Saccharomyces cerevisiae S288C: one gene and its partners. Changing the gene in region 3 together with the main gene of any one other region gives a genetic interaction. Each region holds a gene or a part of one and is shown on either strand. Other genes may lie near its edges. The genes, in order: ALD2, POB3, PPA2 and JEN1.

What was found.
Region 1: mutations in PPA2 (region 3) and ALD2 together harm fitness more than expected from each alone (negative genetic interaction), as found in Saccharomyces cerevisiae (one large-scale study listed by BioGRID).
Region 2: mutations in PPA2 (region 3) and POB3 together harm fitness less than expected from each alone (positive genetic interaction), as found in Saccharomyces cerevisiae (one large-scale study listed by BioGRID).
Region 4: mutations in PPA2 (region 3) and JEN1 together harm fitness less than expected from each alone (positive genetic interaction), as found in Saccharomyces cerevisiae (one large-scale study listed by BioGRID).

The regions. Positions count from the first base shown.
Region 1 is NC_001145.3:599,276-607,404, forward strand, and holds ALD2 (aldehyde dehydrogenase (NAD(+)) ALD2), read right to left. Parts: upstream 3,808-8,129; coding exon 2,287-3,807; downstream 1-2,286. Other genes in the region: aldehyde dehydrogenase (NAD(+)) ALD3, read right to left, coding at 77-1,597; EAR1 (Ear1p), read right to left, coding at 4,593-6,245; HOT1 (Hot1p), read left to right, coding at 6,706-8,129. UniProt on the Saccharomyces cerevisiae protein: Cytoplasmic aldehyde dehydrogenase involved in ethanol oxidation. Required for pantothenic acid production through the conversion of 3-aminopropanal to beta-alanine, an intermediate in pantothenic acid (vitamin B5) and coenzyme A (CoA) biosynthesis.
Region 2 is NC_001145.3:132,001-140,466, reverse strand, and holds POB3 (FACT complex subunit POB3), read right to left. Parts: upstream 4,968-8,466; coding exon 3,309-4,967; downstream 1-3,308. Other genes in the region: SMA2 (Sma2p), read left to right, coding at 1-43; ERV41 (Erv41p), read left to right, coding at 253-283, 377-1,404; ITT1 (RBR-type E3 ubiquitin transferase), read right to left, coding at 1,523-2,917; DAK1 (dihydroxyacetone kinase), read right to left, coding at 5,238-6,992. UniProt on the Saccharomyces cerevisiae protein: Component of the FACT complex, a general chromatin factor that acts to reorganize nucleosomes. The FACT complex is involved in multiple processes that require DNA as a template such as mRNA elongation, DNA replication and DNA repair.
Region 3 is NC_001145.3:798,282-806,169, reverse strand, and holds PPA2 (inorganic diphosphatase PPA2), read right to left. Parts: upstream 4,399-7,888; coding exon 3,466-4,398; downstream 1-3,465. Other genes in the region: RRN9 (Rrn9p), read left to right, coding at 1-844; TMA23 (Tma23p), read right to left, coding at 1,079-1,714; U6 snRNP complex subunit PRP24, read left to right, coding at 1,948-3,282; RSN1 (Rsn1p), read right to left, coding at 4,791-7,652. UniProt on the Saccharomyces cerevisiae protein: Involved in energy production. Its activity is stimulated by uncouplers of ATP synthesis.
Region 4 is NC_001143.9:18,797-27,610, reverse strand, and holds JEN1 (monocarboxylate/H+ symporter), read right to left. Parts: upstream 5,378-8,814; coding exon 3,527-5,377; downstream 1-3,526. Other genes in the region: OXP1 (5-oxoprolinase), read left to right, coding at 1-784; URA1 (dihydroorotate dehydrogenase), read right to left, coding at 1,452-2,396. UniProt on the Saccharomyces cerevisiae protein: Essential to lactate transport.

The DNA of each region.
Region 1 (8,129 bases), 200 kb from region 3:
AGCCGTAAAAAATAAAGATTTCATAGAATATGAAGCTTTGAATCTCATGTAAACATTTATATAACTATGTAACGAATTATTTATCCAATGAAAGATCCACATGGACTGATTTTATTTGTAAATAGTTATCAACGCCGGTGTCGCCTGATTCTCTACCAATACCACTCATCTTAAATCCGCCAAAAGGAACTTTAGCTTCTTCTTGATTGGTTTGATTGATCCAAACAGTTCCTGCTTTAATATCGCGAGCAAACATGTGCGCTTTCTTGACATCTTTGGTGAAGACCGCAGAGGCGAGCCCGTAGCAAGTATCATTAGCCAGCTTCAGAGCGTCATCATAATTTGTGAACTTGCTAACAACCACAACCGGGCCAAATATTTCATCACGCAGCAACTTAGATGTTTCTGGTACATCAGTGAAGATGGTTGGGGGAATGAAGTAGCCTTTAGCTCCACCAATAGGAAATTCAGAGGTCTGGAACATGTCCAACTTTTCCTCCTTTTTACCACGTTCTATGTAACTTTTGATGCGGTCATACTGTGTACTTGATATAACTGGACCAACGATGCATTTCTCATCAAACGGATCAAATTTTCCTGCAACATCCCACTCCTTCTTTGCAGTTTCTTTAAACTTTTCAACAAACTTGTCGTAGATCGAACTTTGAACATAAACTCTTGAGTTTGCAGTGCAGATCTGTCCCGAATTAAAAAAAATACCATTTGCTACCCATTCTATAGCCTTATCAAGGTCTGCATCTTCAAATACAAGAGCAGGAGACTTACCACCGCATTCTAGTGTGATATCCTTAAGGTTCGATTGGCCGGAAGCTTCCAATACTGAGCCGCCAACCTTAGTACTTCCCGTAAAAGATATTTTGTCGATATCCATGTGGGTTCCTAAAGCTTTCCCCACAACGGAACCATAACCAGGAATGACATTGACAACACCAGGTGGAAAACCTGCTTTTTTAATTAAAGTAGCAAAATAAAGTAGAGATAGAGAGGTATTTTCAGCAGGTTTGATGATAACCGTGTTACCGGCCGCTAAGGCACCTTGCATTTTTCTACAAGCCATAGCTAGAGGATAATTCCATGGAACGATTTGAGCAACAACGCCAAAAGGAACTTTTAGAGTATATGCAAACTTGTTAAAAGTCAATGGAATGGTTTCACCCATATTGAACTTGTCGACCGCCCCCGCATAGTATCTTGTAAGTTCTATAATCTGGGCTAAGTCTTGTTTAGCATTGGAATGGAAAGGCTTACCAGCGTCTAAAGTCTCTAATGCGGCAAGTGTGTCTTGCTCCTCCTCAATAAGTTTTAATAAGTTTGAAAGATAAATACCACGTTGCTCAGAAGATGTCTTCGACCAAACGTTATCAAAAGCAGCCCTGGCAGCTTTCACAGCTTTGTCTACATCCTTTTCGTTAGCTGCTTGGAAGGATGTTATCGGTTCGCCAGTAGCTGGGTTCACAGTTTCGATGGTCTTTCCATCTGATGATGGACAAAACTCATTGTTGATAAACAACCCTAGCGGTTGCTTTAAAGAGATTTTCAATTGTGGGATTTCGATATCAGTATACAAGGTAGGCATTTTTCTTTTGGCTAATTTTCTAAATGTGTATAATCTATATCTCTATGATACAAGTCCAAGGTATAATTACCTGGCATGAGTCAAATTTATTCCCATCCAGATTTGCCATTTTATACAATTAGTTTCTGAGGTATGATCAGTTAAATCTACGCTATTCGTTTGAACAATCTCCCTGTCTCCTCCCTAAACTTACTAATTCCTTAACCCTTAGGGAGTTTAGCAATCAGCTTAAGAAGGGGGCTGATCAACAATCCGGTTCAAGTCTTGGATTAGCAGTAATGAAAATCCCTAAATGCACTAAAGGGCGTGGAAGAAAGGTACTGTAGAGTTCTAATAGTGATACTTTCCTTGTACTCCAGGGGGGGAAGGAAGAACAGACGTCATATGCAGAAAAAGAAAAAAAAAAGACGGAAGATCTACGTAATGGTGGGAATAGAGAAAACTAACACGCAAGTATAATTTCTTGACACAAAAATAAATCTCACTGAGTTTATAGCTCTATTTTTTTACCATCTTAAGGGATTTCTAGGACCTAGTAACAACAATTGTTCCGCATGCTGAAATAATGGTGCTTACAGTTTTATATCGAGTAGTGGACTACTACTGTTTGCTAGACTGTCAACATATTCATCCGTCGTCAGGCTAAGCTATTTAGGTACTTACGCACTTACATAATGATAACTATCACATTAGTTGTCCAAAGAGAGATTTATGTGAACTGCTTTTGTTTGAAGATAGGTATCAACACCACTTTGCCCCAGTTCTCTACCAATACCACTCATTTTAAACCCGCCAAAAGGAACGGTAACATCTTCATCGTTAGATGAGTTGATCCAAACAGTTCCTGCTTTAATATCGCGAGCAAACATGTGCGCTTTCTTGACATCTTTTGTGAAGACCGCAGAGGCGAGCCCGTAGCAAGTATCATTAGCCAGCTTCAGAGCGTCATCATAATTTGTGAACTTGCTAACAACCACAACCGGGCCAAATATCTCATCCTGTAACAGTTTCGATGTTTGCGGGACATCAGTGAAGATGGTTGGGGGAATGAAGTAGCCTTTAGCTCCACCAATAGGAAATTCAGAGGTCTGGAACATGTCCAACTTTTCCTCCCTTTTACCACGTTCTATGTAACTTTTGATGCGGTCATACTGTGTACTTGATATAACTGGACCAACGATGCATTTCTCATCAAACGGATCAAATTTTCCTGCAACATCCCACTCCTTCTTTGCAGTTTCTTTAAACTTTTCAACAAACTTGTCGTAGATCGAACTTTGAACATAAACTCTTGAGTTTGCGGTACAATTCTGTCCTGAATTGTAGAAAATGCCAGCTGCTATCCAATCGATAGCCTTATCAAGGTCTGCATCTTCAAATACGAGAGCAGGAGACTTACCACCGCATTCTAGTGTAACGTCTTTAAGGTTCGATTGGCCGGAAGCTTCCAACACAAATCCACCGACCTTGGTGCTTCCCGTAAAAGATATTTTGTCGATATCCATGTGAGATGCTAGGGCTTGGCCTACAAGTGATCCATAACCAGGAACGATATTGACAACACCAGGTGGAAAACCTGCTTTTTTAATTAAAGTAGCAAAATAAAGTAGAGATAGAGAGGTATTCTCAGCAGGTTTGATGATAACCGTGTTACCGGCTGCTAAGGCACCTTGCAATTTCCAACAAGCCATAGCTAGAGGATAATTCCATGGAACGATTTGAGCAACAACGCCAAAAGGAACTTTTAGAGTATATGCAAACTTGTTAAAAGTCAATGGTATGGTTGCACCTTTGTCAAACTTATCAGCGGACCCAGCAAAATATCTGGTAAGCTGTAAAATTTGTGCCAAATCACCTTTGGCATTTGAATGGTAAGGCTTTCCAGCGTCTAAAGTCTCTAATGCGGCAAGTGTGTCTTGCTCCTCCTCAATAAGTTTTAATAAGTTTGAAAGATAAATACCACGTTGCTCAGAAGATGTCTTCGACCAAACGTTATCAAAAGCAGCCCTGGCAGCTTTCACAGCTTTGTCTACATCCTTTTCGTTAGCTGCTTGGAAGGATGTTATCGGTTCGCCAGTAGCTGGGTTCACAGTTTCGATGGTCTTTCCATCTGATGATGGACAAAACTCATTGTTGATAAACAACCCTAGCGGTTGCTTTAAAGAGATTTTCAATTGTGGGATTTCGATATCAGTATACAAGGTAGGCATTTTTCTTTTGGCTTATTTTCACGATTGTTTTTGATGGACATGCAATGTAAAAATGATAGGAATGGGCCAAAAGTATTTTTAAGGATTCGCTCCCTTTATATGAACATTCTTGAGCAAAATTCGGGATATGATCAGTGAGTGTCGACAAGATTGCATCCCTAATGTTTAAACGAGTTAAAAAAACTCATCATTGGATAGGAGTAACCAATAAAGGGTATATGATTGCTATTATTAGTATCCAAAAGCCGCCGGGAACATCATAGGGCGTTAGCAAGTAAACGCATGGCACGATAATGGCAACCTTGTTTCTTCTGGCGGCAAAAGATAAGGCAATGCAAAATAAAAAACGAGAAAAAAAAAATGATAGAAGGGAAAGATAAGCAAATTTTCTTTCGAGCTGGAACGCTTCATTTTAATCTCACGCATTTGCAACCCATGCTGATGTCTGAAGCGCTGACAAATACTTCATACGTTCTTCTTGTGACACATTAAGAGGTAGCACGGAGGTGCAAGTAAAGATGGCAAAAGTACGGAAAGTAAGAAGGAAGTTTGCGGGTCAACCAGTTGCCCTTACTAGTGTACGTAAACATATGTATATATGTATGTAAATATCTATATGCTGCACTGCGATATCGAGTAGGTGATAGCGTTGAAACCCTCAATAAGGAAGAAAACGTTATAAATTGCAATGTTTTTAAAAAATGGTGGCTCTGCGTAATACAGCGCAAAAAAAGATAACTGACCGGGGCTAGTGTTTCAGCCTTACTATCTCATGCATTTTCGTATTATATGCCATGCATCCTGCTTTCGTAATCATCAAATTCTGAAAATTGTTCGGGATCTCTCTCGTGATCATTTTCATCTTCGTTATCATTATCAACACTATCGAAAGATGCTTCATCAGTAATTAAATTTCTGCTCGTTCCAATAATTCGTCCGCTTATTGCTGATTTATCATTTTTCGAATGATGTTCATCGTCCGAGTAACTTGGTGGTAGCATAGGTAAGGAATCTAGATTAATTTCCTCATTGATGATCTTCTTTCCAGTGGGAGGGGACATAGTGAATTCAAATCCAGGTGGTGGCGGTAATATTTCACCGTTTCTTATAATTATATCATCATTGAGATTTGTAGTACTACCAGCCGCAATATTGTCGCTATCACCGTCTGAAAAATCTTCGTCGAAATCATTGTCTTCACCACCGCTTTCTAATAGGGTATCTTTACCGTAGTCTTCGTAAGAAGGAGGAGGTAATTTAATGCCGTTTGACTTTGCGTATCCCCATTTTTTAACGTTTGCTTCTATATAAACAAAGCCATAAGTGCCGAAATTCACATGAATTTGACAAGGTACGTTGGAGCCAATGATCGGGTATAGGTATTGGAATTTCCAGCCGCGGATATGACCACCAACAGATTTTTCATTTAGTTTTTTTCCGTTCCTGGTGAAAAATACTGTTCCACTACGTGACCTATAGCCAATGCCAACAATGTCTCCCTTTTCACACTGTGGAAATAACGTTCTTAATTGCTCATTTAGTTTGAAGGAGTCATTAAATCTTCTGGCGCCGTTAGAATCGTATGCTATCGAATGGTGGTGTCTTCCCGGTAACCTGAAATATGGATAAGGCTGTGTGGAAAGACCAAATGAGATGACACCTTTCGATACATTTTCATCACTGTTTAGTGGGCCATCCGTTTCAAATATCTTGAATTCACAATAATATACTTTATTTATACACGGAATGGGTAGATTTGTGGATATAGAAGCATCATAATTATAATTTAGAAAAGAAACCTCTGTTTTATTTTCCACTATGACAGTATGGTTTGGCATATCAGGATTTGGGCTAAACTCCCATGCATAAGCCCCCTCTTCTTGAATATATTGCCTTGTTTGCTCGTTCATAATAGGGTCTTCACGGGTGGTGTCTGGATTGCTATCTTCGGACTGTTGTAAAAGTCCCTGGTTAAGCAGAAATGGTGGGTTCTGCTTGATATACTCCTCACCTTGCTTATAATAAAACTGCTCTTCAGGTGACAACTGTGCCAGCTTATCTCTTACTTCATCAGCATCGTCAAGATTGTTGGGCCACCTTAAACTCATGTTTTCCATTAATCTTCTGCTATGAACGTGTGCATTATTTTCGTCATAATCGCTGAATAAAGATATTCTTTGGCCAGGGCCATGCTCATTATAATATGCAGTTATAAGCCGCGTAGCTATCTGTTTTGTAAAAAAATAAACGATACAGATGACGATGTAGACCACGATTAAGGTTCCAAACGCAAACAACATTATATCCATGTTAAGTTCGTCAGTATCGTCTCCCCCATAAGATACATCGCCACGGGGGATCACCGAAGATCTACCACACCGTATTTGTCCGCTTATCGAACCGAGAAGCAGCGATTCTATCAGAAACTTGAATGACATTTGCTTTTTTATATAGAAAAAAAATTTGGCTCTCCAAACTTTAAGATTTTTTATAATTATTAACCAATGACAATATAGATAACTTGAAACAACTCTTGAAAATTTTGTAGTTAGGCACCAGTCCTTTGGTTTTTCAATGTTCTATAAAAAATCACTCCTCCATGCAGCAGTAAAGCGCTATTCTCAAAAATAGCTCAACCTGAGAGAGGAAGAAAGAGCAGTAGTAAATAGAGCAAGGTTCTTAAAGCCTGTATCAATGAAATTTTGTTATGGCGTTTATATGGATAACCTGGAATTTGCCTTTTTTCTTTATAGCGCACCGTTCCGAAGAAAAAAATAAAAAAAAAGGGCCGACGGAGGGTTAGGTCAAATTAAATATTGAGCTAGGTTTAGTTATCTCTTTTTTAGGTTTTTTATATACAAAAAAGATTATATTTAGGGTACATATGGCTGGAGCATAATGTCTGGAATGGGTATTGCGATTCTTTGCATCGTACGTACAAAGATTTATAGGATAACCATCAGCTTCGATTATTCTACACTGATGAGCCCTTTCTTCTTATTCTTAATGATGCCCACTACATTAAAGGATGGGTACAGGATGAATAGTCAAGTAAATGAAGATGCTATAGGTATCAATCTTGACCTCTCACTGCCCACTCACATTTCGCCTACGACTGGTTCAGAGAGCGCCAGTGGCAGTAACGCCAGTACACTTCGCAACGATGGAAATGCACTAGATGGAGGTCTTTTGAGGACTTCAGCAGCGATTTCAGCACCCACAGGTACCAGTCAACCAACAGAAACTATTGGTGAAAAACTGAGTAATGAAGAGCGGGTGAACTCGAATGTTTCCGCTTCGAACTCGACAACGGCGGGTACAGGGCGTATGTTAAGCCAATCCTTGACTAATGATTCACCGTCGAACGAAATATCGACGGATCAGTTGAAGATTTTTCAAAGAATGGACGAAATGAGTGCCCGAATGATTGAGATGGAGGAAAGCTTCAACAAGTTATCTAATAAGATCGCGGAACAGAATACAATGGTTTTAAACCTAAAACAAGATAACTATAAAGTTATGAACAAATTGAATATATTACTTAAGTTGGTTGCGCAGCCAAGCGCGCGCCCAAGCACAAACAATGCCCAAAATAAGCTTGCTATCGAATTGCTAAATTCGATATCAGCCGTTAGTAGTGCTTACTTGCAGAAAATGCAGAATAATGGCTCTGGTAGACAGCATACTGCTGATTTATGTACAGGAGATTCCAACACCCATTCTGGTATCAACCAGCATCGGACTACGAATGGAACCATAGATGTGAATACGAATACTGCACAGCTAAACAACCAATTTTCTAACGCACTAAATACTATCTTACCTGATCAGCAGCATAATCGAAATAATGTTTCCCAAAATATAAACCAATCGCTCCCTAACCGACAACTTGGTCCTGTTATAAACACACAAGCCAATCAGAACCAGTCGCAGGTTTTAATTCATAACACAAATACACATCAGCAGGTAAATCGCTCGCCTATTAGTTTCCCGAACGCTTCAACTGACAAGCCATTCAAGTTGAACCCAAATGGGATTAAACGGCGCAGAAGAAATACGCAAAGTAACAACAATGCGAGCACAAATGACCATGCTAGTGCTGCACAAAAGCCCATATCAGCCCTATCTCCATTAACGAATTCTCATAATTCTACAACTAGCATGAATTATACCAATTCTTCCATTCATTCAGGCGTCACCAGTGCTTCAAATTCATTTCATGACTTAAATTCATTGAATAACTTTGGCACGACAACAGCTTTAAGTTTGCCCAGCTTAGCCCTAGATAACGCTTCTTTTCCCCCAAATCAAAATGTTATACC
Region 2 (8,466 bases), 670 kb from region 3:
AGACACATCTAACTCCCCTTCTCCAGACTTGATGGAGAAGTAATTCACCACAGAACTTTTTTTTCAAATGACAGTAAATATGTAAACATATACACAGCCTTTCAGTATATTAAGTATTTTTGCATAACGTCCTTTTTTCCCGCTCGGTCAAGGCTTTGAAAAGATATTATCAATGTTCTATTCTTACTGAGAAAAGCGTTCCTCCAAAATGCTTTTGCTGTAACGTACAGGCAGAGACTTCAGGAGTATATAATGGCAGGATTGAAGACATTTGATGCGTTTCGTATGTTATATGGATTTTTCTGAAGTAGCCCGCTTCAGCATATTTTATTTTTGCTTTTGCTTTTTCACTAACAATGGAAATTTAACTTTACAGCAAAAACTGAAGAACAGTACAAGAAGAAATCCACCAAGGGTGGCTTAACATCTTTGTTGACATATCTGTTTCTGTTGTTTATAGCATGGACCGAGTTTGGTGAATACTTCGGTGGTTATATTGACCAGCAGTACGTAGTGGACAGTCAAGTTAGAGATACCGTTCAAATTAATATGGATATATACGTCAACACGAAATGTGATTGGTTGCAAATCAACGTCAGAGACCAAACAATGGATCGGAAACTTGTATTAGAGGAATTGCAATTGGAAGAGATGCCATTCTTTATTCCTTATGACACAAAAGTCAATGATATCAATGAAATTATTACGCCGGAATTGGATGAAATCTTAGGGGAAGCTATCCCAGCAGAATTTAGAGAAAAACTAGATACTAGGTCATTTTTTGATGAAAGTGATCCTAACAAGGCACATCTTCCGGAATTCAATGGGTGCCATGTATTTGGGTCCATTCCGGTAAATAGAGTTAGTGGCGAATTGCAGATTACAGCGAAGAGTTTAGGTTACGTGGCTTCACGCAAAGCACCACTGGAAGAATTAAAATTTAATCATGTTATTAATGAGTTCTCTTTTGGTGATTTCTATCCATATATTGATAACCCATTGGATAACACTGCACAGTTTAATCAGGATGAACCTTTAACTACTTACGTCTATTACACATCTGTTGTGCCCACTCTTTTCAAGAAATTGGGGGCAGAAGTGGATACTAATCAATATTCTGTTAACGATTACCGCTATTTGTACAAAGATGTCGCTGCTAAAGGTGATAAAATGCCGGGCATCTTCTTCAAATACAATTTCGAACCATTATCCATAGTAGTTTCTGATGTTCGTTTAAGCTTTATACAGTTTTTGGTCAGATTAGTGGCAATCTGCTCATTTTTGGTCTACTGTGCTTCGTGGATTTTCACACTACTGGATATGGCTCTTATCACCATCATGGGACCTAAGTGGTCCTTGCGTTATCAGCCAGATGATAAAACTAAGGGTATTTTAGATAGGTAGATATGTAAAAGAAAAGAGAATGCAGTATACCCAAGATAACGTTTCATTTTCATCTGTATAAATTTCATGACAATAGATTATAAGAAAAAGTGTGAGACTGAAGGCAGAGCGATCGCACTCAAGTTTCTGTGCCAGGCATACCTTCAAACAATCGTCCATAACAGCCTGAATATGCTTCTCTAAAATGTTCATAAGGGTCCTCAGGATAAAGTAATACTCCGCATATAAAACAGAACAGCGTCCCGCATACTTCGCATTTCATTTTATTGCAACCTTCACTTCTTTCTACAACTACCTTACACTTTGGACATCGCTGCAAATTCGAACCCTCTTTTTTAATCGCTAAATCTAACATTTTTTCAGCAAGGTAATCATTGACTTCAAGTTCTAATACTCTTCTCCCATATTTTGCCTCCAGTTTCCGCTTTCTCTCATATGAAGTAACGGTATCATCTAGATATTCCTCAATAATATCGGTCGATAACGAAACTTTCTTGCCACATTTATTGTTGTAACCATGCCAGGCATGCAAGCAGTCAAAGCAAAATACAAAATGACATTTTTGACACTGAATCATCGCATCATCGAGGTCTTCTTTTGTGCACCAACTATCACATCTTCGACAAGTCACACAAGCATACGGACAATATTTTGAGAGTCTTGTAGCCGCCTGGTTGTAGAACATTTTTTCGTATCTTTCACATAGCTCTGTATCGATAACCTCTTTTAAGAAGGACACTGGAATCAAAGGTGTAAACAATGCCTTCAGCATTTTTTTATAGCTCTTGAAATCTTCTAGTTTTAATTCTTTGTATTCGCATTGTGGACATCTTACACTGGATATTCGGTTTTCCTGAATCATTGCAGTGAAATAAGATTTGGCGCATCCTCTGCAAAGATAGTGTTCTACATTCGCATTTTCACATGGCAATTTGATCATTCTAACACCCTTTTCCATTTCCATACAAATACAACAATGGTAGTTAGATCTGCTCACTTTTTGGAGGGTGGCTTCCTCACTTATCTGCTTAAACAAGTCATACTGATCCTGTGTCAGGCACTTTCTTATTCCATTAGGGAATAGTAATATAGCTGTATCATCTATAAGAAACCCAAAGATGAGGATAAGGATGGAGGTAAACGAATCCGCGAACTCAATACTCATATCTACAGTTTCTTCAACGAGTCTCAGCGCTTTGTCAATTAACATCTTCTTTTCATCTGTTGATATCCATAAGGATTTGATATCCATAACAACACACCGTCGAATGTCCGGATAATGACAGCTATATATGGTGAACTCCACGCATTCATTAGATAAGTTTGAAAGTAACATATGTTGCTCGCCGAACTCAATATTTACATCGGCCAATAGTGATATCTTGAACAGTAACTTTCCGTTAATTCTTTGAGGGAATTCACCTTCCTCCTCTACTTTTACCGATTTCATTTCCAGTTCTGGGTACATATCTCTTAATATTTCCAAATCATTTTCAAACTGAGTCAAAGCCATTTTACTCCCTGGTCTTTCATCAGTTATATTAGTTTTCTGTAATTCGTTATTCTACACCATGACATAACTTACTGGTGACTAAATGAGAAAAGCAAAGTCCCTTTCTCTTGCTTGTTATTTATTTTTGAACCCTTTACACTATTTGTCTTTTTTTCATCACCCAATCGAAAAGTTGAAAGTATTTTTCAAGCATTGAAAGGGTAGAGGAGATTAACAAAACATAAATATTTTGCAAAACAAAACCAATTTCAAATAAATGTATAGAATAACACCAGTAATTAAGAGGTGGTGTCTTACACTCACCATGTCATGATAATATCAATTGGCAAAATATATTAGTTAGTTTTTACACAATATCAATAAATTTAACTTATACAGTCTAAAATTATTACTATTCTACCTTAGGCTTCTTCGAAGGCCTTTCTTCGTCGCTACCCCCCTCAGCATCACTTAAAGCCGCATCTGAATCAAACTCTTCTGCAACTTCGTCTGCGTCATTATCAGAGCTGACCTGAAAATCCTCATCTACTGATTCATCATCTTCACCAGCGGAACCCATATTAATATCCTCTTCGTCACTGTCTGAACCTAAAGCGGTTTGTAACCTTTCTTGTACCTCTCTATCTTCATTCTTCACCCTTAGGTTTTTAGACTTTAGGAATTGTTCCAATAATTGCTGCTCTTCCTTACTGATGTTGGCAAAAGTGGTAGAACCTCTATTTGAACGCAGTACCACTTCCAAATCAAACGTCCTCGATGACGTAGAAGTTTGTCCTGCTCTTGAAATGTTTACCATGCTAACATCACTGAATGGTATGTACAAAGTTGGCTTAGTTAAAAAGAAGAAAGCGTTATCTAATGGATACAAATAACCTTCGTTTGCTTTGAAAGAACATGAAACTGCACACTGATCATATTTGGATTTATATTCTCCAGGAACAATGACTCTACGGTCAGTCAGACCTTTTAATACATGACTTAAAACTATATGAGTTTTAGCATCATATTGTTTTTTCAATTTATCCTTATAATTTTCCTCATAATCTTCATCTTCTAGATTCAATTGCACTTCTGTTTCCTCATCTTTCTGAAATTGTAAGACAAGAAAGGGGTAGGTGGTCTGTCCTTGACGTAAAGGAGGTTCAATTGCCAAAACCAATAAGTGATGGATATCATCTGCCTTTGGTAACGAAACAATTCTTTGTATTTGACGATGTTGCAATTTGTATTCATAGGTCTTACCCCTGAGTCTAATGGAGTTCTTGTAAATATCGATATCATAACGACCTCTTGGCGTGGTAAAAAAGACGTCTTGGAAGGAAACTATTGCATCACCAGCGACTTCCCCGATGTCTGCCTTTTCCTTTAGTTCTTCATAGAATGCTTCTGCCATACTCTTTTCCTCTACTGCCATTTGTACATCTTCTCCTTCAGCACCATCTTCTTTCTTTGGTACGACCTCGTTGCTTGACTCTTCCTTTTTGGTCATGTTTTCATCGACGTTTGTTTGAATAACACCAGGAATATAGAACCTCATCTCTACCAATTCGTCACCGGCTGGTTGGTACTCTTCATCTTGAATATTAAATTCTATTCCTACTTCATTTTTAGAGGTCAAATTTGTATTATTTATTCTAGCATAAGGAATTTCAAAAGTTGGTTTACCATTTAAAGCAAAAACCATTTCATTCCTGGCAAGGTCTGTCTTACCCCAGTTCCAACCACGTAAGGAATGTTCTCTTTGCTCTACCTGAATATTAAAACGGCGATGGAAATCATTCTTGATTAAGTTATAGTCATCCTGAGAAAATCCATCTAGTTGGATAACACCTTGATTTTTGGTATTTATCTTCAAGTCGTAACCCCTGCAGCCCCTACTCCATTGGACGGTAGATAATTCTGTGGCTGGTAATAAAAATGGTTTTCTTGCCTGATTTGCTGCAGAGCCACCACTGGTACTAATTTTCCACCCTAACCCAGAATCAGCAATACGGAATCTACCGCTAAATTTAGATTGGTTCAAGTAAATTCTATCAAAGTCGGTACTCATAATTCTTGTTCAACAATACTAGATTGTTCCTTCACTTGTTAACGGTATTTCCTTCTTGTTCTTACCACCGATTCAACATCTAGCTACTCTCATACTATGTATATCTCTGACACTCGCGTTAACATTTCACCAGTTTAACGATTCGTTTCGCGTTGAACCGGGTTATACAATCGTTCTTCGCGATGATAATAACAATAACTCCAAGAAAAGTAAGCTTTTTCTATATATATATATCATAAGTATCTTGATATGTATTCGTGAGCCAAGTACTTACAAGGCGCTTTGAACCCCCTTCAAAAACTCACATAGGCCTACTGCACCAGGATCTTCTACTTGAGATGAATCGCCGACATACGAAGCTCTGCCAAATTTGGCCTCGAATGTAGCAGTGGATTTAGCACCTTCCTCTGCAGCTTTTACCGCCTTATTGAAATCCTTAGATGCAGTAAATTCTTTAACGAATGGTTCTAAAGCATCAATCATGGTGGATGATCCCTTCCTTGCCTTTGTATATTTGTATAAAGTATCCAATGCAATTCCGAGTGACTTAGCCACAATTTCCTTAGTGACGGGTTCATCCTTTGATTTACAAACCTGAATTAATCCGTGTGAAAAACCCGACAAAAGAATAGAATATAAACCACCAGAAGTACCTCCCATTGAGCCTTCAATGAAATCTGAAATTTGGGCAACCGCCTGAGATAATGAGTCCTTCGACAGCTTGTCAAGGTTTTCGGTGATGCCTTTAACTCCTGCCACTAAAGTGTAACCACAATCACCATCACCAACTTGATTGTCTAGTTCCGTAATGTGCGGTTCGCTCTTGATAACTTGTTCAGCACCACTCTTCATCCACTCAGCAAACTTGTCAAAGTCATAGGTACCGACGGCCTTTGCTGTTACTTCATTATGTAACAAGTCATCGTTAACAGATGGGGCAGAAGTCTTTTCAAAATCTGCAATTGGCCAGCCCGGTGCGTTCGTAAATGCGTTCAACAAGTCTAGTACTGATTTGATCTCCTCAAAATCAGATTGCAAAGCCTTTGTAGCCTTAGTGGCGTTTAGTAATGTGATACTGAACCCATTACCATTGAAGGAGGTCATCAATGTGCCAGCAATTGTTTGAACCGGGGTTATGTTGTAATTTTCCTTTAAGAAATCCGTAGTTTTGGAAGTGATAGAACTAATAACAAAATTAGAAACACCGCCGAGATTGTTAACTAACAAGACAACTTCATCATCTTCATCAAACTTTACAAAAGCTCTATCCTTATCGTTTGGATCCAATAGTTTTGGTAGCATATACTTGGAGATCAAGTCTTCGGTAGAAGGAATAGGGTCTAAAACTTTCACACCAGGTTCGTTATGAATACCCATACCCAATTCCATTTGTTTTTCGTTTAATTCACTTTCGAATTTCCTGCCAGGAACTTTACAATGGTCTAAAGAAGATCCAATGGTCACCAAATTGTCGTTGATAATTTTAGCCACTTTAGCTGTACCGTCTAAGCCATACTTACTAGAATATTCTTCTGCGAAGGCACCTACAATCTTATGAACCAAAACGGTACCTGCCAATGCTCTTCTACCAACCATACCACCCTTTTCTCTGCCAACTGCAACATCATCACCTATGACAGCAACGCGGCAGTTAATACCCAAGGCTCTTGCTCTCTCAGCGGACAGACCAAAATGCAAAACATCACCTGTGTAGTTCTTCACAATCAATAAAACGCCAGACGCATTTTCATTGACTAAACGGATTGCATTTAAAATCTGTTTTGTTGAAGGGGATGCAAAAATTTCGCCAACCACGGCGCCACTCAACATACCCTTACCAATGAAACCGGCGTGTGTAGGTTCATGTCCACTACCACCACCAGAAATTAATGCGATCTTGTCGGAATCGGTCTTTCTGAAGAGAATTTTTTCTTCAGGGACCAGCGTAATGGAGGGGTTAGCAAGGGCAAACCCTTTGAGACTTGAATTGACTGGATCTGTGACTTCAAACGATTTAGCGGACATTTAAAATTTAGTCTTAGATATAGAATGTAATCTTATTCTTTGATGTGTTCGTTTACAGTTGCTACAAATAGTGACTACTTGTAGCGAAGTTGAAGTGATTTTCTCCTTATATATTTATTCATCAGTTAGTTCGACAGACGCTCGCGAGGTGGCCACTCTTTCAAAATGACGCAATTGGGAGTGGTTTGATCTTTCTCCCTTAGAAGCCAAATTGGCAAGCACTCACTCCGGGCCAGATTTACACCATGTTTGTAGCGCATTTAAATCAGGAAATGCATTATATTTCACTCTCTCGTCTAGCGAGTCTTAATGTTCATGACGGGGGAGCTTTATGCCTTGTTTTTTATCACAGCGCCAGACAATTGACAGTAACAAATAAAGGCAAAAAACCCTTGAATAGCACCAGAGGTGTTTACTGATTGCTTTTAAAGTACGTATAAAACTGTAAAATATAGATTAAATTCGACCGCCATTACTTTAGAGTTGAAATTGGGAAGCCGTATATTGCCATTTCAGCCATGCTTCTATGGTTCCTAATGGAAGCATGAATGACATACGCAATTTGATGAGCTTGAAAAGGGCGTAATTGACAAGCCAGATTTGAATCTAATCCCTTGAGAAATTATCTGCAAGTAGTAAAAAAATCTCTAAAAGATGTATAATTGAGTCGCCTAGAGACCTCATTCATCATGATATTTGACACCTTAATTTTGATAGTAGCGGGTCAGTCATTAAGAAGAAAGTGAGCTGGGGCTAATCATCAACGATCTCCCATAATTACGTACGTCAAAGACAACACGTTGGCAAAGGTAAGAAGAACGTAGTGCGTATCATGCTTACGGTGAATTTCACCCTTTTTTTCTGTTATTCGTGCTGATCCACGGGGTATTCAATTGAAGATATTATCTTTATCATCATATCGGTAAGCGTCTGGGAGAAGCAACTGGTCAAACGTTTTCAAAAACCATTCTTTAAACAACAAACCGATCAATGTTCTTGATCAGCTTATCAATCTATCCGATCTCCTGCGTTCAGCGTGACCGCCACACTTATGTCTAGATAATTTAACTTCCAGTTGCTAATTTCCCGCTAAAGTATCTTATGTTTACCATCACTGTAGCCGCCCTATCATATGCAACACTTCCATACTCATTTTCGGAATAAGAAGCAACTATCATCTAACGACTAGTATTTATATTACTGGTATATTACCATATTGGGTATAAGACGGTCAAATAAATATTGAGAAACAGTCACCAATTTTAATGGAAATTGAAATGAAAGGGTTGATAATGTGCTAGGAAAATGAACGAGAACATACAAAATGAAAGAAGAAATAATAATATTCCTACACAGAAATATCGGTTCTCTATTGTGGATTTTCATATTCTCGAGGAGAACCTCTAGTACATTTTGTGTATCTGGTATCACAGCGCTTGACAACTATAGAATTTAAACAATTATCTCATTCTTC
Region 3 (7,888 bases):
GAAGACCCAAATTAAGGATAACTGGACGAGCTGGCCTAATCCCAATACAATTATTGACCCTAGTGTAGACAAATTGTATGAAGATATACCGGAAGGTATTGCAAATGTAAGCGTACAGCCGGGGGAGATCTCAAATAGGGCTTTAATGCACGCCTCTGATATGATGAGGGTTGAGCTGGATGCTCAATGGCAAAAATTTCTCTCTAAGTCTGCCTTGGACCATGATGTAACTCTAGATGTGGATGAATTGAACATTCCAAACGAAATATCCCGGAATATCTTAGTTAAACTGGACAGCTTATTCGAAGGGTTGCATGATAAAATAGCCAAAGAGAACGAATTCGATGTAAGGCAAGATAAGCATTCTAATAATATAAGGGCGAATCAGATAGACGACGAGCCCATGCAGGCCAATCGACGAATTAAATACACATATCATGACTTGGTTTCAAGAGGTTGTGAAATGAACGAGGATATGACGGATATCTACATGAAATCATTAGAGCTATATAACGATATCCCAGAAAAGTATAAAAAGAGAAAATTCAGACTGCCCAAACAAATTCTAAAAAAGTATCACCAGCCAAAAAAGACCAGTTCATACTTAAAGGAGCTATTAAGTAAAACAAGAGAAGATTTCATACCTGTGGAAAAGTTATTGAAGGATAAACGGTTGACATCAAAGGACAAATCCAAGCTACAACGCTTAAATCGTGAAGAGACGGAAGATGCTCTAAACAAAAGAACATTTTTTCAGGTAAAGGGCTACTTAGAGGATGAGAATGAGATCTCTGATTACGAGTTGGACGACTGCCTCATAGAACTGCCTAATGGGAACATATGAATGAGAAAATCTTTTTTTTACCTTTTTCCATTAAGAAATATTCATCTCCTTTTAAGATCAACATATGTAACAATAAATATACTCTTTTAAAGATGTTCTTTTAATTTACTTACTGAAATTTAATATTAATAAAAGTTCGAAAACAAAGACTAAATACAAAAATAAAAAGATCATAAATTCAAACTTTTAAGAATGTCTTTTACGGATACATATTTACATATTAGACTATGATAATCATATATGCTCCTTTCTATCTCTTCTTGCTGAACTTTCTTCCTTTTTATGTTTTTTTGACTTTTTGGATTTTTTATGCTTCGATTTATCACCTTCATCGCTGCTATGCTTACTTTTCTTTCCTTTTTTACTCTCCTTCTTGCTTTTCTTCTTCTTCTTCTTCTTACTCTCACTGTCGTTACTAGTCTTTTTATCTTTTTTCAATTTTTTTCTCTTGACCTTGTTATCATCTTCATCACGCCTTCTTCTCTTCTTCCCTTTACTCGAACTTGCACTAGATACAACAAAGCTGGCTTCCTCCTTTTTACCAAGATTAGTAATGGTTCCTTTCAGCCCTTCTCCCTTTACAAACCACCTGTATAGAGGTGAGCTACTTTTCGATACAGCAGTAGCAACTGCCTCATTTTGAGTAAATTTAATACTGCCATTATTCGAATCAGTGCTTACATCCAGGTTCTTCAGATGTCCATCAAATAGCCTTTCCCACCATGCTTCGCCATCATTCCCGCCAGGAGCATTACCCAATCCCTTCTTATCTCTCTTGTGCTTTACCAGTATGGGTCTTTTCAAACCACCTTCTCTAAACGCTTCTCCTTCTTTCCAACCATATGATATCAGATATTCTTTGCTATCCATGTCCGATTTATTCTGATAATATTTCCGCTTGTATCATTCAATTTTCTATGTACATCATGACAATGAATTGTAGAGTGCATCAATGTCTTTTTTAAAGTCATCGCTAAAAAATTTTCAGGCGGGAACTTATTCAAAATGGCAGATTTACTACAACATTGAAAACCCTTTATATTTATTATATGAGAATCATTAGCGATAAACAAGCCCACATATTCACTTCATAATCTGTGATAATGGAGTATGGACATCACGCTAGACCAGATTCAAAACGACCATTGGATGAAGGATCACCAGCAGCCGCAGGATTAACTTCTAAGAAGGCGAACGAAGCTTTAACAAGAAATAGAGAATTAACAACTGTATTAGTCAAAAATTTGCCTAAGAGCTATAATCAAAACAAAGTCTATAAGTACTTCAAACATTGTGGGCCCATTATACACGTTGATGTTGCGGATTCGCTGAAGAAGAACTTTCGTTTTGCACGTATTGAATTTGCCAGGTATGATGGAGCCCTCGCTGCAATAACCAAAACACACAAAGTTGTAGGTCAGAATGAAATTATAGTATCTCATTTAACAGAATGCACATTATGGATGACGAATTTCCCCCCAAGTTATACTCAAAGAAATATTAGAGATCTATTGCAAGATATTAACGTTGTTGCACTCAGTATACGGCTTCCCAGTTTACGATTCAATACAAGCAGAAGGTTCGCTTACATCGATGTTACTTCTAAAGAGGATGCAAGATATTGTGTAGAAAAATTGAATGGACTCAAAATAGAAGGTTATACTTTAGTTACTAAAGTTTCCAATCCGCTGGAAAAGTCGAAACGGACCGATTCTGCCACACTAGAGGGGCGAGAGATTATGATACGAAACCTAAGTACAGAATTGCTCGACGAAAACCTTCTGAGGGAATCTTTTGAGGGATTTGGTTCCATTGAAAAAATCAACATACCTGCTGGACAGAAAGAGCACAGTTTCAATAACTGTTGTGCATTTATGGTTTTTGAAAATAAAGATTCTGCTGAAAGGGCACTTCAAATGAATAGAAGTTTGTTAGGTAATAGGGAAATTTCCGTTTCCTTGGCTGATAAAAAACCATTCTTAGAAAGAAACGAAGTCAAAAGACTTCTCGCATCGCGTAACAGCAAAGAACTAGAAACACTAATATGCTTATTTCCACTTTCAGATAAGGTGTCACCAAGCTTAATCTGCCAATTTCTTCAGGAAGAAATACACATCAATGAAAAAGATATTAGGAAAATACTTCTCGTTAGCGACTTCAATGGCGCCATTATTATATTTAGAGATAGTAAGTTTGCAGCAAAAATGCTAATGATACTAAATGGATCTCAATTTCAGGGAAAGGTGATACGTTCAGGTACTATTAATGACATGAAAAGATATTATAACAATCAACAGAATCACAGCATGAAACACGTCAAACCTAGTTGTATAAACATGATGGAAAAAGGACCAAATCTTCAAGTAAAGAAAAAAATTCCTGACAAACAAGAGCAGATGTCCAACGACGATTTTCGCAAGATGTTTCTAGGTGAGTAGACTAACCGAACCGGAGAAAGACGAACTTCTAATAGGATGTCATTTTAGCAGTGAATATAAACCCAAGTTTCTTTCCAAACGTTCACATACATCAAGCAGCCAACATTCGAGAGAGCAGAGATTACGTAATTATATACAAGGAACCTTTATCTAAACATTTTCTTCGAAGGTATTATTTTCATATTAAACGTAATACCATTTTTGCACCTCAGGCGGTATTTGAGAAGGGGGTTTAACACTATCTTCAAGTGTGACACCATTACCAGCCCTTTCTGTATTAGGCAGGTTGTCATACTTCTCCTGGAGTGATCCTGAAATGAGGTTTTTCCACGAATTGTGACATTTCTTTATAGTTTGGATGGTTTTATTGGAATTTTGATACTGTTCATGAAAGGCGAAACTATTTAATGGCTTCCCTGCTGGAACTTTATACTTTCTAAACCACTCCCTAGTCGTATCTAGAATCCCAGGAAAGTACTCCTCAATTTTTTCCAAGTCATCTATTTTAGAGGATAAAGGATCATTTACGTCGATCACTATGACCTTCCAATCCAATTCTCCATCATCAATTAAAGCGAGTGATCCTAATACCTTGACCTTTTTAATGGAACCCATTTCCAAAACATCCGAACCGATTTCGCAACAATCAAGAGGATCATTGTCACCTTTCAAAGCCACGTCACACTTCCCCAGTTTATGTTCAATTGTGGGATCTTCCCATGTTTGGGGAATAGCACCATAGTTGTGTATATAGCCGTGATAGGGAAAGATATTGTTCACGAACCTAAGCTTGCCATTCTTCGTATCTTGAACGATCGGATTGAACCTAAGTTCTTTGGATATTTCAAATTTTCCAGTTGTCCATCTTGGTACTTCAACAATCATATTTACGGTCTTTTCATGTTCATTCAAATCTAAAGGGACATCATGGAAAAAAGAACCAACCTCTCCATTTAATAATGTCAAGTATTTCTTAAACCCGAGGGTATATTTGCTGCCTTGTTGAATGGTGCTGAATTGTCTATGATTACGAATGGATAAAATATTCAATGTTTGTTTTAACCGTTCTATTGACCTAGCCTTGCTTGTTAAAGCATTCATTCGTAATAAATTCATGTTTTTCAGTAACTTCTCTAGAAGGGAATTTGCTTTTCACGCATACAAGCGAATCAAAGTTTCCAATTGAATGTACTCCCTATTAGTGCTGGTTAAATTAGCTGACTGCTCCGTATTACTGTGCGGAGTTCCTTTTATCCAATATTCAAACCTCATAGATTGCCAAAAACAAAAAAACTTTGCATAAAAAAAAACAAAAAGGGTTACTATACACGATGAATGATTAGACTATACACTATTATATAAGAAATGATTAGAATCATATTTTAAATGTATTAAAAGAATATATGCACGTCCTTTTCCTCTCCTTTTCTTAGTAAAATTACAATTCAACCATCAGAGGATAACAGCTAAACAAATAGGAATAGATAATTTCTGATAATGTTTAACCTTTAGACTGCCGAACGACTCTCTTCTTCCTTATACTTTGGGTCCGCAAATGGATTATTTTCCTTACTAGCTGTGTCAAATTCGCCATTTGCTTCACCATTTGCTTCGTCTTTAACATCATTATATGGTGGTGGTACGTCACGCAGAGTAAATTTCAAATTCTCATCGATGGTAGCATTTTCATCGTTCATTTCAACAACGCCAGAAACGTCTGAAATCAACAATTTGGAAAATCCAAAAGGATCGCGAGGAATCCACAATTCGGGGCATTGTGCACTAACAGCTGGATAATCGTAAGCATGAGAGATATCGAAATCATTGACTCTTTCATCAGGATCAACCAAACCATATATTTCTGGCAGTCTGCTCTTTACAGCCTTATAGGAGTAGTAAATGTGAGGTTTTAAGAATCTCTTCCACCATGGAGCCGGAGGAATTTTCATTGTATCACCATCTGCTAATAATGGCACGTCCTCAATTAAATTTTCTGCATTTATAGCGTGCCCATCTGCATTGGCTTCATTTGCTGGGTTGAATTGATATTCGAATGTATTTTCACTAAATATGCTATTTTCAACTTGTTGCTCAGTGACTGATTCACTCCTCTTGTGATATTTCTTTATTGGAAATTCAGGTAATTCTTTGATTCCGTCCATGTCAATATTTGCACCAAAAGTATTTTTCTTCACCTTTGTACTTTCTATGCCTTTATAAATATTTTTGAAAGAAGGTGTATCTGATACACCATCTAACGGTTTCATGGTATCAACGGGTATAACCTTTGATAAATGATCAAATGCAGCGCTCAAATGTAAATGAATAAGGACGGTAACACAAATTCCAATTACCTGTAAAACGATTGGGCCCCAACCTTTACCAACGGCAAAAAGACCTAATAGACATATCTGACCGATGTAGATACCAACTATAGTTTGGAAAAGAGCTCTTGGATAATAAATACCCCTTGCGTCGGGTGATTCCTGATAGACATAAGTCAAATTGTATAAATATGCAATATACAATAGGAAAAACGCGACGGCAGCAAATAATAAAATCAACGGAGAAATGATGGAGTAGGAGAAAGTAATAACTGCCAAGTTTGTATAAACTGGAAAAGCTGTCCCCCACTGCATACTGGATAGCCCACAAAAACGATTCCATTTCTTCCTAACGGTACCATCTAAAAAGGCACCTAAAACATAAAAGAGTATTAGTGGAACAATTTGCAAAAGAGCACCTGATGAAATGGACAGACCTTGTAGAATAACGTATGACATGAAAAAATTAGAAGCTTTTGGCAGATTAGAAGCCAGTAGATCCATAGCCTTCGTGGGCTCTTTAACAATTTCCGTTACTGTGGAAGTGGCGGCGGAGGATAGAGTGGTAACTAAAAAGACTTGGATAACTTGAAAGGCGAAATAAGCTTGTTGAGTGAAATATTCCACATTTTGCTTAGATGGAGCACCTTGAGTGATAGCCATACCCCTAATAAATTTCGGCAAGAAACTCATTAAAACGGCCAATGCCACAGTTGGGGCCAGAGATGTCAGTAAACCTAATAGTTGTTTTGGTAATTTATAGATGAACTTTAACCATTTAACTTCATTAGTCAAGGAAGTAATATTAGAGATCATACCAACAAAAGCCACTGGGAAAGCCCATAATATTACTAGCGCGACAATTGCTGAAACCGCACTGACTTCCCTACCTAATCTTTCCCACCAGAACATCCTCAAATTAAACCAAACGACATCGGATGGCTCAATACCAATATACACAGGCGTCATGAAAAGAGGAGCATGGTATGTGGTGATCTGAGCGGCAACTTGGGCCTGATATTGGGATTCAAACTCCACAAAAACGGAGTTGAAAGGGGATGAATTTTCATGATCTTCTTGTAATGCCTTCACCTTTTGGTTTAACTTGGGCAACTCCTCCTTAATGTAGGATATGGTGTCAACTTTTTTACCAAAAAAGAATTTAGCAACCTTGTTAATTTTATGATGTGGTCTTTTCTTGTCAGGGACATATTCAGCAATATTATCAGAGACAGATAATTGCGGACTTTTTTTGTTTAACTTCTTAATTTTTTTCAATGCTGCTTTCAGGTATTTTGTTTCAGCACCTTCCAATTGTATGGCCATATTGTCCCTTGCTTTGACCATTGCTTCAATTGAACCGGAACCTCTTGCGATCCAGACTCTTTTCACACCATCAAACAACTTAGAAAACTCTTCTTCACTTAAGTATTGCTTAGGGACAGTCTGGAATAACACGGTTCTCGAGGATAGTTTTTTAGCATAACGAGGGGACGCTAGTACAGCTTGCTTCATAGAGGTGTAAAAATACAATTCTCTGTAAATAATGTAAAGGAACCCCCAAAAGAAAATCCATCCACAGAAAACATGTGCAAAATATCTACCACGGTGCTTGACGTTCTGATAGGCCAATTGATTCAATCCGCTTTCATGGTTACCGTTACTGGCGTTAATGGACAACAAAATAGGGAATATATAACTCATGGAAACAGCACAGTAAATTGCAATGATGAAAAGGTACCTCAAAAAGAAATATCCATCCAGACCGGCTTGTTGAATGACAAAATTGTCTGATTTTTTCAATAACGGCTTCAGCCATTGCCAGACGCCCTGCGGTAGCGGTTCTGGCTTTTTTTCTTCATTAATCAGATTGAATGAGGATTTGGGCTCATAAATCCTTTTTAGTTTTATACGCAAAATCAAGAACGCTATGACAAAAACACCAAAAATAGTACCATTACTTACCAAAGAAGTAACGACTTGTTGAGTTGACGTGTTTGTACTGGTAGCTGTTGTAGTACTATTAGTACTATTAGTACTATTCATTTTGTCCCTTTGCCCTTGCTGCTAAGCCGTAAACTTATGATTACTAAAACAAAAAGAAACGGAAAAGGCAAACGAATTAATATATATAAGATGAAAAAGAAATAGAAAAAAACAACAAACCGAAATTTGATTACGAAATGGCCATTAATAATAATATTATACAACCAGGCACGGGACAACATCAAGATCGAGTGCCAAGCCATGCGGCTTTGCTGTTGGTTATCAAGTATTTTCTT
Region 4 (8,814 bases), on a different chromosome or scaffold from region 3:
TCCCCAAGTTTATGGTAATTTAAATGCACCAGAGGCTATTACTAATTCTGCGATTCTTTATTGTCTACGGTGTCTAGTAGGCGAAGATATTCCTTTAAATCAAGGTTGTTTAAAACCCTTAACAATAAAAATTCCTGCTGGTTCCCTCTTGAGCCCCCGATCCGGTGCTGCTGTTGTCGGAGGCAATGTATTAACTTCCCAAAGAGTGACAGATGTAATCTTAAAAACATTTAACGTCATGGCAGATTCTCAAGGTGACTGTAACAACTTTACATTTGGAACTGGAGGAAATTCTGGTAACAAAACCGATAAGCAGATCAAAGGCTTTGGATATTATGAAACCATATGTGGCGGCTCGGGGGCTGGTGCAGATTCATGGAGAGGAAGTGGTTGGAATGGCTCAGACGCTGTACACACGAATATGACCAATACAAGAATGACAGATACTGAGGTATTTGAAAGGAGATACCCCGTTCTGTTGAAAGAGTTCTCGATCAGAAGAGGTTCAGGAGGCAAAGGTAAATATACTGGCGGAAATGGCGTAGTAAGGGATGTTCAATTTCGGAAGGCTGTAACAGCATCTATATTATCAGAACGTCGTGTCATTGGCCCTCATGGTATAAAGGGAGGACAAGACGGTAGTAGAGGTGAGAATTTATGGGTAAGACATAGCACAGGCGCATTAATCAATGTCGGCGGTAAAAATACGATTTACGCTCAACCCGGTGATCGATTCATCATTAAAACCCCTGGTGGTGGGGGATTTGGACAATACAAGGATTAAAGCATTTCTTTTTGGTTCTTAGTCAATATCGAATTACACGGAACCATTGGTATACCGTGGATGCGCCAGCCACAAATTGACTTTTACAGAAAGTACAGTTTAATTATATAAGAACAGGCACTTAACAATGTTTCGGAACTCTGTAGATAAAACCAAATTACTCTTTCGAAAAGGCTACATTCTACATCAAAATCACCTGTGCAATATATATATATATATATATATATATATATATGCACATATTCGTTAATTTCTTCACTTTTTTCCCCAAATATTAAACAGATGGCTTCATTTCTTCAACATTATTTTCTGGTTCCTATGCCATTTTTAGCCTACTAATAATTATCGTTGAAAAATGTTTCTTGAATAAGTCTTAATGTAAGGATATATCATATGTTGAGATATAAAAATTTAAGTATAAATGAATCAAGACAATAATTTACATTGATTAAGTTATTTCAAAGTATAAGTATTTAGTATCATCATCTATTAAAGCACATTGAACCCTAATGTATGATGCCAATTGCGAATGCACTCACCGAAAAATTAAGGAATTAGCATTTACCAACTATCCTTGATTTATGCAATTTCAAAATAATAAAATATTCATACGAATCTTAACACTCTTCCATAACTTGTCCCATCATAGTTCTTCAAATTCCGATAATTAAATGCTGTTCAACTTCCCACGGAACTGATCTATGGATGTATAACCCTTAGCTTCCATTATGTCTTTTAATTCTTTTTCGATACGTTCAAAAATCTTGACGCCCTCTTTTTGTAATTCTGTACCAATCTGTAGCATAGAGGCACCACATAGAAGATGTTCAAATGCATCCTTACCGGACTTAATTCCACCTGTACCGATAACTTTGATTTCAGGTCTCAAACGAGTGTAAAATGCACGAACATTGGCGAGCGCGGTTGGCTTAACATATTCACCTCCAATACCCCCGAAACCATTCTTTGGCTTCACTACTACACTCTCCTTCTCCACATCAATGAAAAGACCATTTCCTATACTATTGATAGAGTTGACATAAGCTAATGGGAACTCGTTCAATATTTTTGCCATGATATCAAAATGGGCAAAATCAAAATAAGGAGGCAACTTGACACCAAGAGGTTTTTTGAAAAAGGCAAAAACCTTTTCCAAGGTTTCCTTTGTCAAGTCAAAGTCATAAGCAACTTGTGGTTTCCCAGGCACATTAGGACAAGACAAGTTTAACTCGGTAATACCGTTGAATTCGCTATCTTGGATTTTCCTCAACAAATTTAAATTTTCATCAATGCTCATACCAGCAACTGAGAAGAAAATAGCAGGTGCATCAGGATAATTCTTTTGACGGTTTAATACATAGGACAAATAGTAGTCGATACCTTCGTTTGGTAAACCCATGGAGTTGATACTGCCTAGAGGGACAGAAATGTAACGTGGTTCAGGGTTACCTTCTCTTTCTAAGGTTGTAGCACTCTTTGTAATGAATGCGCCAGCTTTAGAGTTTGCTAATTCATCTAATTCTTGTGTAGTCATGCAATGAACACCGGATGCATTCATAAATGGGTTTTCATAGGTATTGTTCAAGAACTTGGTAGTTAAACTGGCTGTCATGTTTGGTACGGAAGTTCAATTTTTTTTTGAGTAATTGTGTATATCTATTTGAAACGTCTAGTAGTCCAAACTGTGTAATCCAAGAGAAGAATACCGGTTCCCGATGCGTATGCCATGCCATATATAAAGCTTTTTTTATTTTTTGGTGATGGGCATCTTGAAAAATTTTCGGCGAATGCCGAAGATCGTGAAATAACCTTCGGCAAAGCCCGGTGAAGAAAATGGCTTCAAGAACATATTAGTGAGAAAAAGTAGGCTGTAGTGGCTGAAGGATAACATTTAGTAAAATCACCAAATCTAAAGTAGAGTAAATATCTAATAAAAAAGGCTAGAATTGTTTCGAAGTTTATCGTCCGATCTTATTACATGGGGAATACACTATTTAGGGTGGGAAGATACCAGATTGACTTGGATCCAAGGTTAGGGAATGACCTCAAGAGGAAAAAGCGACATCTGTAAGATCGAGGATGCTCCTTTTCCTTTTTTCCCCAAATGGGCCGCAGCTGTGAAGCATATCGTTATCATATACTGCATTTTTCTGCTATCGTTCTATGGATGCGATACGTAATATCTTGATACTTACTTCCTTCTGCAAGATTTCTATGGTAAAAAAGCTTATGTAGTGAAACCTGCACAGGCCGAGCTTTGATTGTGTATAAGCATACATCCCCCTTCAAAGGTGAAAAGTAATGTCGAAGTATATGGCTATCCAGCCGCACACTGTCCTCAGGGCCCATTCAGTGCAAGAACCAAAATGCTATATTTCTGAACGGCCTAAAATGAATAACGAAATAATTTTTTCCACTTTTACCAATTTGCTGTTCGACTAACATTTCTTTTCTATTACTATTATTGTCTTATAGTGGCAAAAGCAAGCAAAACAATTTAAATTCTTAGACACAGTAATCTACCATCTTGCTAGTGTTAACGGCTGTTATGTTTCTTGCGGCGCTATTTAAATGTACTTACATTCTAATCCCTTCGAGAAAATTAATACAACAAAAATTCTAACTTTAAAGTATGTCGTATATCATGTCTTTTATGTAATGTTATAAAGGCTATAATATGAATATATGTGAAATGCAGTTACATAGAGAAGCGAACACGCCCTAGAGAGCAATGAAAAGTGATTAAACGGTCTCAATATGCTCCTCATATGTCTTTGAGACGTTCGAATCAATCATCTTCACTGAAGCACATTCCGTCTTTTGTTCAACAATGTCACTAATCGAAAGACCATCGGCTTCGTATTCTTCCACTTGGTTTATATATTTCTTCATAACAGGAGAGGACAAATCACGATGGAATTTCTCATGGCCAACAAAAACACAAGCAAATGTGAAGATGAAAACAGAACCAGTCAAGATAGCCATAACTTTGGCATAATCTTCTTTAATCACAGCACCAGAGGCATCTCTTTCTAATGGGTATCTATCAGCTAACTGTGTCTCAATCGTGGAAGCCGCTGCAGAAGCTAGATTACCTAGCTGGTAAGATAAACCGGCAACCAAAGCCCTTGCATCAGCAGGGGCCAACTCTGCAAGGTGAATGGGCAGGATACCCCAGACACCAAAGACACAAAAATATAACATGAAACCGGCACCTAATATAGCCTTTTCGCTTCTCAACATAAATGCAGGGTAGGTGAAGCAACCACCCATTGTGCATGCAATCAATAGGCCTAATCTTCTTCCAGTAACTTCCATGAACTGTCCAAATATCATACCCCCACAAATAGCACCGATGTTGGTAACCACTACAATGACAGTGACAGCATCCTTGGATAGGCCTAATTGGGCACGCAGCATGGTTGGCAACAAGTCTTGAGAAGCATGAGTCAAGTAATTTGGACCCACCAATAAAACAACCAAATATGCGAACAACAACCAGTACTTTTGAACTGTTCTCTTCATGGATACCATCTTTTGTTTAAAGTTGGCTTTTGGTAGAGGCTCGCCACCATTAGCTTTCACTGCGTCACTCAATATTAATTTACGGGCTTTCAAAACCTTGGTGAAGTATTTCGTTTCAGGCCATAACAATCTCCAGAAAATTAGTAGAATTGGTAGAAAAATACTAAACCAAAACAATATTTTCCAGCCATCATCCCTAAAGTAGCCAAAGGCTCTGTAAAAAATGATAGCAAATATGAACCCCATAGCGTAAGCAGAAAAAAATAGACCTGATAGGAACGAACGTGCTTTCACAGGTGCATCTTCAATCGCTGTTGCAGAAGCACATCCGTAAATTCCTCCCATAGCAATACCGGTTATCCACCTTACGCCCAGAAATTTCTCGTATGTGTCACACCATGGAGTACAGAGTTGTGCAATGACAAATAAGAACAAACATGTAATGTACGGCCACTTTCTGGAAGACTTATCTGTCCATAAACCAAATATGACAGCACCTGCTGAACGAACAAATAACACCAATCCCAACCCCCAGGTGATGTCCTTGGTTGGTCTGTCATATAGTTCAGCCAATGGAGCGACTGATACTGAAACGCAAAAGAAGGCCCAAGCCGCAGACAACCACGCAAAATAACCCATAAAAAAATAGTTCCAATTCTGCCATGTCATTTTGCGCAGTTCGGGTATGGGATTGACATTCTCCCAAGAAAACTCGTGGATGTGCAGTAAGGACGTAAATCTCGTTAAAGCATAACTTTTAATGGACGCAGCGCTTAGGTTTGGCTTATCCTCTTCATCTTCCTCATACTCTACACCTTGATCCTGGCTATAAACTCTTTCCAGCAATTCATCATCTCTTGTATCCTGAATTGATTGTGCAGGCAGTGATGGGTTATGGTATAGCTTTTCGTGATCCGGGTTGTAAACTTCCGGCTCATAATTTATAGGGTTACCTTCTCCGTCCACTAGAGGAGGCTCTGCAAATGTACTTGTGTTATAGTATAGTTTTCTGCCAGCAGGTTGTTGCTGTTCACCAGATATTTTCTCATCTGTAATTGACGACGACATATTTTCAGTAGCAGTATTTAATCTCTTTGAGGAAAAACTTTTGAAACTGTTACTCTTCTTCCTTTTAGATCTAAGGGAGAAGGACTAGACAACTTCCAAAACTATTTCTCAACAATGATGTGCAATGTATTTATACATCAAGAGGGTACTTCACTTTGCTGATTTTTTTTTTTTTTTTTTTTTTTTTTTTTTTGGTAAAGGATAGTACCATAGGAGATAGTAAGTGTTACTTAGATCTCCATCCAAATGACCAGGTAACGTTCTAATGCATTATAGTAGAAGGGGGGGCAAAAGACCGTTAAGTGAAGAATTATGGACGTCCGGATGGTGTGCAGAAGCTTACAAACTAACTTCCTGGTGGAGAATAATGGTAGGCTTGGCGGCTCTGAGATGGAGAAATAGTTTCAAGCCGCGCGCTCAATAACTTCCTCGATCACTGACTTTCGCACCCATCTGGGAACGGTACGGCGAATAGTCTTCATTTAATTGGAGCTGATCGAAAATGCTTGCTGCCGCTTCAGCGTGAATGACGCAGGTGCTGCGTTTGTCCTGTGCCTCCTTTTTTTTTTGGAGTCCGTTTGTCGGCTATTAGCTCTTGGGCTCTAACCCCAGGAAAAGGAAAAAGAGAAACACGCCGGTCTAGTGGAGTAAATTGCGGGGTCAGGATCCCGCGCGGATATCGGCCGTTCAAAGGGTGAAAAGAAGAAATCATTGGAGTCGTTGCGAGTCATTCTTTACGAATCTAATTTCTCCAAATTTTTACAGGTATTCTTAGCCGCCCAAGGTAGCATACAATGACCTTCTATTGCAAAAATGTACAGTGGAATGTAAAAACAGTGGGGACAAACCTGTGGAACACTAAGCGTGGGGGTCCATCCACTTAAACTAAATCGTATTGTTTAAAAGTGTGCAAGCATTGCGATAACGTTCGATTAGACTCTGAATGGAAGACAATGAGTTGATTTTGCTACCAGCAAAAAAAATAATTTATAAACACATTATTCTTGCAATATTTTTCATACTGTGCGTTTATACCTTTTGAAAATTATAGATCCATTTATATATTAATTAACATCCGAAACAAAAGGAAAGTGCGAGGACCGGCCCACCCGATGACTAACGGGAAAGTGGACATGATTTGCCATTTGTACGGGTAATATTTACATATTATTTGATGTGCTTCTTTGGATTGTGTGCAATCACTTACTTCACAGTGTCTATGTAAGAGATGTGAGAGTGTAGCTCGGAAGGTGGAGACATCTCCTAGATCTTGTCTGGCTTCGTTGGGGTAGCCATGAGAAGTTTTCCATTCCCCCGGGTCATGCATGCTGCCCGAGTCAAATAGCGTTTAACTTTGACTCGTACGCCATAATAGGTTATGTTTTATCTTTGGTCAGGGACCCCAGTATTGAGAAAGTAACCTAGGGATGCTACGCCCCAGCTTTACTACGTGGATGATACAGTAAGCACATACATATTGACGGCATCTAATCGTTCTAAACGGAAAAATAGGCGCTGATTTGATCCACTTCGGTTAGGTAACCGCTGATGCCAACGATCTAGGGCCCTTCCATTTTAGGAAAAAGGGTATATACTCTGATGCCCTGTCTGGCCGAACATTCGTATATGTGGATGTATCGTGATCCGTTCGTATTCAATAAAAGTGTAACGATCTCATCTCAAGTCAAAAGTGAGAAGGGAATAACTAAAAAAGAAAAACTGATATTTTGACGTGACGTGGTTTATTAGCAAGTATGTTTCAACCATTCTCAGCGTAAACCCTATCACAATAACGTCTCTATGAAAAGTTTAACATTTTGTCTATCTCGGTTCAATCAGTTGAATAGCGAACCTTATAGCAAATAGCATTTTCAATAAAAATGTGACATACAGACTTCCACTTTTCTTGCTTTTCTCATGCTCTGTGTGATGCTACTGTTACCGCGGCACCACATTTTGGCATACGTCGGGACATTGGCGGCTGAATAGATTATACCCGTCGCCCTTTTTTCATCTCTCCTTTTCTTTTTGTCGTAAGCAAATTACAGAATTGAATATTTGAATAACCCTAAAAAAAATGCCACTCCCCTAAAAACAAACCAGATTAAGTTGCAAGAAATAGACTGATTGGAACATACGGGTCCTATTCAGTGCTCAATAAAAATTAAAATAATGTGATCAAACAACCCGAGACTATTCTTGAATTAGCATTAGCCACTATAAATTTTAACATTTTTCAGAGTCTTTCGTGCGGAGACCGTAAATATTAGCATTGACCTTGTCAATGAAGTAATTGTCTTTGATTTTAACCGTGTTAAAGATTTCGCAAAAGAGAAAGCTTGCTGGCTTGGAGCAGTAACTTTTTTTGATTTTTTTTTACAAGCACACATGCTTTTGCCTTTAGAATATTACGGCTCCTCATGTGGATAGTAAAAACTTGACCGTTGCATCTGTTCTCCTTCGAACAAAGAATAAATCGTCTGAAAAATCACATAGAAAAATAATAGAAAAATAAAAAACATAGTAACATATTTTAAAAGAGACCTTTTATTGAAGAAAATTTGGCGATAAAAATGATTATAACATTGAAATGACGAAGAAAAGGACAGTGCCCGAATTCTCGATTCCAATAAAAGGCGAAAAATTACAATCGCCAGCATGTTTGGTACGGGGCGACTCGTGGCATTTTAAAGTACGCTGGCATGTTTAAAGGTATTAGTGTTCTTGGCGTGGAAAGTGCAGGTGTCTCACTTTTTAGAACGAACAAATTCAAACAATATACAACAATCCGCCGAAAACATTCCAGAAATTAAGATTGTTAAGCACTTTTGCTAAGAAAAAAAAAGGGCTCTCCCCTGTGAATTAACTCAAAGGTAGCGTGTTCTGCCTATGCAAGGTGACCGTTTTTGCAGATATTGTAGTGAGATGCTCTACAAAAGGGGTTTCCTAATCTAATCTTTTACCATATCAAAAATGCCCTAATATTATTATTAAAGAGCTATCAAAGCCTGATTCCTTAGGTATATGACTAGTTCCCGAATTAATGGCATTGATTCATTACTTATTTTATTAGGGGGATGATAAAAATAATGATATCTTTTTCTGCAGCGTCATTTAAGTACTGATTGAGACTGACAGTTGTGATAGAGATATTAAGTAGTAGAAACGGTCCATGAATTGTTCTTTGTTAATATTCTTGCTGAGGGAGGCTTTTCTTTTGGGCTGCTATGCTTTCATTCTACTTAAGCAACGAGATAGGAAGCTTCAAAAGGTGAATGGTGAAATGCTGAAGAAGATTTCGTCATTCCAATCCTCGAGAGTGCGACGTAAGTAGTGACTCTAATGAATTTTCTATGCCTCATAAAGCTTGAGGTATATTTATCCATACGCAAATAATACACGATCTAGGATTATTGTAGTATGTTATTGTTTGACAA